Linked DNA regions of Oryzias latipes. The protein of the gene in region 1 purifies or fractionates together with the protein of each later gene. This does not show direct contact. Links are inferred from orthologs where the notes say so. Each region holds a gene or a part of one and is shown on either strand. Other genes may lie near its edges.

Region 1 (2,830 bases):
AAGTACGTCACCTACACAAAGGCGCCAACTTCCGCCGAGATTTTTAAGTATTTTAAGCTTTTTATTTTAAGAATATTTCATTTTTGCACTAAAATATATAGACACAATATATCTTTTTAAATAAATGTTGAATTATTAATAAAGGTTTTAGGCGCTACACTACAGCAAATATAAACAGAAAAAAACGTATTACTATTTTTTTTTAAAATAATTCTTAAGTATGACAAGAGTTTTATTCAGTTAACATCTTTTCAAAAAGACCTAATTGACTTAACTGAATTTTAAAAATATTATAAAACAAGGAAAAATGAATAGTTAAGTGAAGACACATCTTTTCAAAATAAAGGGAAAATTATACTCCTGCACTCGAAAACCTTAGATAAAAATCTACTAAATCTATTTCACAGAAAGTGAATTATTAAGTTTAAAGGTTACATCATAGAACAGAACAGTAGGTTAATGCAGTATAAATTCATTTTTCCCCTTAAATAAAGGTTAAAAGGAACAGACTCATTCACAAACTATGGCATTTATTTTAAATGGAGGCTTCTGCTTTGCTTACATTTTTACAATAAATTACACAATGACCATTATTATCAGATGTGCCTAATAAATACTTATGGAGCAATAATCCAATTGGCTCCATTACTCACTCTTAGCCTATGATGCTGACCATTTTCCACATACTGTTTCATACAGCAATAGCTTCAGGCCACCAAGGGTTGAAAGAGTCCAGCCGCATCTAGAACCACCATTCCTCTCTAAGAAGCTCTATCTAAAAAAAACATAAAAATAAAATAAAAATGAAGAAGCAATCTAAAGGAAATGAGAAATTTAAAAAATAAAAAGGGGAGGGGGATAGAAAAACAAAGAGATGGTGGAGGAAACAAGAGGAAACAAACATGCTGCAACCCTGATTATTTACACTTAAGCTATAGTTAAAACCATAAAACTGTCTGTACAGAAAAGTACATGTTATTAACAGTGCAAGATATTAAATAGCTCGACTCAAAACACTTCTCAATATACAAATGTATAACAAAAGCATACATCTAGGTACAAGTTTGAAACCGAAACGTAACTTTAGGTTAACACACAGCTGGGGGGTTTATGTACAAACACTGGAGAAAGTTTTACACGTACTTCACCTTAGCATAGAAATGCACATTTACAAGATCTCTACCTTAACTATGATCATGTATGGAAATAAAAACAAAACCTTTTTTTTGTGGAGATGAAAATGATGAGGAGCTTTTGGATGATGAGTAGAAGTTGCTTCAGTGGTTTAAAAAGATTTCTTTAAAGGCTCCAAACGTAGCTTTCTTTAGTTGGTCAGCGGTGATTAGGCTAAATTCATACCGGTGACAACATAAAATGATGGAGGGTTTTAAAAGGCTCATGAACCGAAGTGATGTTCTCTCATTGCACATTTCCATCCATCATTCAGTAGTAAATTACAGGTGAAAATCCTCTCGTAGTTCTTACATTTTTACCGTCCGTCGTCCCTTTGCTCACTGCATTCTTCAGTCTTTTTAGAAAAGAGACAAATGGTTCCAGCTGACCCCCTGACCTGACGAGGATCAGGAAAAAGTGCTTCTCTTTTTCTCAAAGTGCCCCCAGGAGAAGTTCAAAAAGGCACTACAGTATCATTCATGCTCATGATGCTATCAGAGCCATCGCCGCCGGACCACGAGTCTGTACTGCTGACGTTGAGCTCACAAAAGCCTTTTTTCACTGTTTTCAATGAGGGTGGGGGAAGAAACATGGCAAAATGATGGTTTGCCCCTTAAAGCCAATGGGGCAGTGGTCCTTAGAAGCCCCTCAACAGCAACACGAGAAGCCCTGTTTGCTTTTAGGGCTGAACATTTTCCTCAAACGGGTTTAGCAAACGGAAAAGATTATTGCTTGCAAAAACAACCCTCGAAATGTTTCCGGGAACGAATGTAAAACCAGTAACTTTTGACAAATTTCATCTCCTTACACAACCGTCAGAAAAGTGCACTTAAGTGCTGATAGCTTGCCATGAAACAGTTGTCAGTAGAAAATAGTGCTTGTTTCTCGTTGTGGTGACTGGTCGGGTTTGGTGCCCCAGCGGTTAGAGTTTACAGGTTGACCCATCCGTCCTGTTGGGACGGAGCGGCGGCGGCGGCGGCGAGCCCAGGATGCTGGTTAAGTGCTCAGTGCGATGGCTCATTGCTGCTCGGTTCTGTCACCTGCACTCCACTGACAACCCAGAGTTCTGAGACGAGGAGGATGAGGATGGAACCGGGGGGTCGGCAAGTGTCAGCATGACGGCCGCTGTTAAGGAGCTAGAGGACGGTGATGAAGAGGAGGAGGAGGAGGAAGAACAAGCAGCCACAGTACCTGCAGAGGAAAAAACAAAGGGATTTTACTGAGCTCTTTGCTCATTTGTTGGAGGCAGATTCATGAAAGCTGGAAGCGATGATCTCACTTTCCCGCTCCTTCTTCTTCATGCGTTTTCGTCTTCTGTCAATGGAGGCCACCTCAGACTTCAGGGACAGGTAGTGGTTCCTGATGTCTTGGAGTTTCTCCTGAAGGAAAGAGATTCTCTCCAGGCTGCTCATCTTCTCCAGATCAGCTGAGCAGAAGGAAAAAAAGAAGGTTTTCAGAAAATCTCTGGTTCGGGAAGACGGAGGAGCAGATCCGCGCTGTTCTGTCCCGTTGAGTATTTTGTTGTTAGTTTGTAATTTGAATTTATGGAGGCCAAGCTGACAGTCAGAAATGATCATGAACTATGACCTTTTGGGATTGGTGCTCAACCATAACTGTGTAATTAAAGATTGAAGGAATATCTGAGGGCAAAGCTTAA
Region 2 (3,976 bases), on another chromosome or scaffold:
GGCAGCCGGAATTCCCCCAACGCCACACGGGAACCGGCAGGGAACAACCGCCGCCCGGGCGACCAAGCCCGCCACCCAGGCCAGGGCCAGCAGGGCCGCCGCAAGGCCCCCAGAGCCAGAGGCCAGGGAAGCACGGAGGGAAAGAGAGCGCCGCCCCAGCCCAACCAGGAGAGCATCCTGGTTGGGCTGGGCATGAATCCTTCTTCAGACTAAATTGGAACATTGTAAATTATAGACAGACAGACAGACAAAAAAGGTTTGAGATATAAAACAATGTTGTTGTTTTTTTAATTTGTCAGGTTTAAAAGACATTACAGAGCAGAAAAAAAATATTCAAACAAAAAATGTGATTATGGGGATTATTTAAATGAGTGCAAGGATGCAGATTTGCTTTGATGTGACATTTTTTATTTCAGTGAAACGCCACTGTTGTTTATCCAGAAAGACAGTTCTTCTTGAGTCACATTTGTCCTAAAGTTCTGTGGATAATCCAAATGTTCCTGTTGCTCACAGTGTGATTCTCCTTGAACTCTCCTATGGATCCATGTTTGTCCAAAAGTCTCTGTCTGGCCGTTAAATCATGGGTTCTAACCTGAACTGAGTCAATCGAGGGTCTGATCTTCTTTCCATCTTCTTATTCTGCTTCTTTTATGATTTTCTGTATGATTCTTCATCCAAACTGGTCACTTCTGGGAAATTGATAATGGCTCTTTCTAGGGAACTTAGGAGTATTAAATTATATCTTTATCCATTAAATTTATAACTGGGAGTATCACATAACTGTGCTAATTGGACCTGATGTGTCTGGAGACAAGTAGATGTTTGGCAATAAAAAAGTGGTTTATTATAAAATTAATTTGAAGAATTATGTGTGGAGACTTAAGGCTCATGTGTTTTTGCTTATTTTATTAAATAATTAACTAATTTTTATTAAAATTAGCCATAACCACAGCTTATAGATTTACAAAAAGACTTTAAGGTTCTCTTGTCCTTTTTTATTTCTTCATGCAGCAAAAAAGACAGTTGTCTCTTGAAAGCCTATGGAGTCCATCATCCTGTGGTATTCACACTATAACCAGATTTTTCCAGGTTCATCAGTTTACTCCCAATGTCAGATAACGGCTACCAAATTACCCAATTAACATGATCAATTGAATAATTTCATAACCCAGAACACACAAACCCCACACAAAAAGAAGTAAATAAATAAACGGCCATTGACAGCACCAAATACTGTATCGAATCTCTTGCAATTGCCTGTTTTTTCCTTTTTTTCCATTGCAGATACAAAATTAAAGCGGATGTGTTTATTCTCCAAGGTGAATAAAACTAATTATATGTTCGTCCTTCTAGTTAAATAAAATACAATAAAGTATATTTTGTGCAATTTTTAAACGGAATACTCGTCAGGCACAAGCTTGGACAGCTTAGCGCTTGGGGGTCCTCGCAGTTGTAGGCGCAGTTTCAAGCGAGCAGCAAAACACCGAGCGATTGTTTATTTTGTTTTGTTTACATCCTCCAAATAAATAAATGGCGTCCACTTTAATATCGCCCGTGGTGGATTATTACAACGACGAGGAGGAGCTCGACAGCGTGGATGACGACGATGATCGGAGCTTCAGGGGCAGAGACTCCGAAGAAGGTAACGTTAAATCAGTAGAACCTTTCTCTGTGGTTCGCGGGCTCCGTCTATTTATTGGAGAAGAAACGGAAATGCGCGGCCATTGCACATGTTTCGCTTGTTGTTCGTTGAAACAGCACCTACAGTTAAGTTAAGTTTGGGATTTGAAAATATATATTTTGGGTAAACATGTGAGGTTTGATTATTGAGCGTGAAAGTGGTAGAGTTTGTACTGCCTAGGCTTAGCTTCAAGCTAACATTTGGTTCCCGAATTGTTTTTTTTAAACAAAGGAAGGAAAACAAATAAAAATAATTGAGTAAAGTGACTTTATTAAAACAAATATATCAAATAATTAGCCACTAATAAATAATTAGAATGAGTCCCTTTTCTATCGCTATTTCCTAAAGGGTTGCCTTTTGTGGTGCATGAATGTTTATGCTCAAATGTCACATTTCTGCTCGAAAAAATTGGAATCGTCTAATAAAAGGGTTTAAGTGAGTGATTTGCAGAGTAAGTCACAGGAGTACCTCCCTCCCCTGCAGTTAGTTACCGCAGGATTTCAGTGCAATTCCCCGCAGCGTCCGTCCGCAGCGTTAATCAGCCGCCCTCCTACGTAACTTTAGCTCTGAGCGTTGACAGGTCGGCCTGCCTGCCGTGTCCACCGTTCTGCCCTTTCACACTCCGGTCAGGCGATCGCAGCGGAACCCGGCGCATCGAGGCGATGACAGCCCTGCCAGGTCTGCTTGTTTGGTGCTCCTGACCTCCAGAAGAACTGCGTAGCGTAGCTTTTATCTCCCCTTCTCTCCGCGCGCGCGCGTGTGTGCTGACGGTCCCGATCGCTCCGATCTCCTTGGAACAACTGTTGGAGCTAACTTTAGCTAGCCCTCAAAGCTAACTGAAACCGAAAGCGCTGCGTCAGCTTACGTGGGCCTCTCTGTCCGTGTCTTTTTCCCACGGGTTCACGAAGAAAACGGCACGTTTGTGAAGTCGATCGCGTCATCGTTGTGCTTCTGGGGGGGTAGAAACGTCCCGGCATCGCTCCGAGGGGGGTAGCCGCTGCTGGACCTGACAGACAGACAGCGGGAGCGCGGAGGATCAAAGCCCAGCAGCATGCGGCAAATGTTTGACTTTCACGCGGACATCTGCACCGTCATTCCTCCGCCTCGAACTTTAACTTTGTCCCTTTTGAGTTGAACTGACGTGAGGCTTAAAAACAAACGTGGATCTGACCTGGGGGGCATTCAGTATGACCTCACCGGAGCCCCCCAGGCTGGTCTGCAATAAGACCTGTGCTGTCTGTCTGTCTGTCTTTCCTTCCGGGGAGGGAGCCGCTGACATGATCAGATGGGTTTAAGTGAGTTCAAACTTCAACTCAGTCTCTTTGTCCCCCCCCCCCCCCCCCCCCCCCTCAAAGACACAGAAGATGCCAGTGAGACGGACCTGGCCAAGCATGACGAAGATGACTATGTGGAAATCAAAGAGCAGTAAGGGATTTGTGTCTTTGTGTGTACTAGTGTGTGTGTGCGTGGCCTGAGCCGAACCCTTATTTGTGGTTTTGTTTTCCTGACAGAATGTACCAAGACAAGCTGGCCTCGCTGAAGAGACAGCTGCAACAGTTACAAGAAGGTAAAGATGCAGGCCTGCACAGAACGCCATCATTTCAGAGTGCGTCATTAAAACCAAAGTATGTCTGAAGGGGTTTGTTTGTGGTAGGAAAGGTCTGCATGTTTTCCCAGATATCATTGCTCTACTGGTTACCTGGATCACCAGGTGTGTCTAGGATGTGCTGGAGAACAAATCCAGCCCTCAGGTGCCCCCCCTGGTTTTAGATCTGGCTTTTTTCTTAAAGCAAAGATGTGGGTGTAAACCAGAGATCTCCAACCTTTTTCAGGCCACAGATCGGTTTAAAATCAAACGGTATTTTCACGGACGGGGCTGAAGTGGGCCTCTGAGTTCTTTTATTGTTTTTTGCCTCCTGCTTTCTTTAGGTTTTGAGGGTAATGTTCATCTTCATCCTCTGTAAAATATCTGCTTTAAACTTAATTTGAACACTAGATTTCATGTAGGAACGATTAAAATGTGATCTAGAGTTTCCCTGAACCCACAGCCATCAAGGAGGAAGCTTAAAAACTCTGAACTCTTTAAACATTATTAAAAAAAACACTAATCCACTGTTTGAGTAAGTTTATTAGCAGCATCCTCATAACTTGCTGAATATTATTCATTATTATTATGGTCCATATTTGGATTTAAGACTGTTTTTTTCTGATAAATGCAGCTGTCCTTTATTTTGAAGTCCTCTTTTGTTTCTTCTCCGACTCTTTTCTCCCAAAAGAAACTATGAGTATGTTTGT

Evidence for each region. The genes of interacting proteins can lie anywhere in the genome.
Region 2: the proteins of arid4b (region 1) and suds3 purify together in Homo sapiens (affinity purification with western blotting; 3 studies listed by BioGRID, with this or other methods). This does not show direct contact. The link is inferred for Oryzias latipes from reciprocal best matches to the Homo sapiens genes ARID4B and SUDS3.

The regions. Positions count from the first base shown.
Region 1 is NC_019873.2:28,207,878-28,210,707, forward strand, and holds the end of arid4b (AT-rich interactive domain-containing protein 4B), read right to left. Parts: intron 2,600-2,830; coding exon 2,453-2,599; intron 2,365-2,452; coding exon 2,210-2,364; 3' UTR 514-2,209; downstream 1-513. UniProt on the Homo sapiens protein: Acts as a transcriptional repressor. May function in the assembly and/or enzymatic activity of the Sin3A corepressor complex or in mediating interactions between the complex and other regulatory complexes.
Region 2 is NC_019867.2:3,527,247-3,531,222, forward strand, and holds the start of suds3 (sin3 histone deacetylase corepressor complex component SDS3), read left to right. Parts: upstream 1-1,176; 5' UTR 1,177-1,530; coding exon 1,531-1,642; intron 1,643-2,246; exon of another isoform or gene 2,247-2,343; coding exon of another isoform or gene 2,344-2,359; intron 2,360-3,036; coding exon 3,037-3,106; intron 3,107-3,192; coding exon 3,193-3,248; intron 3,249-3,976.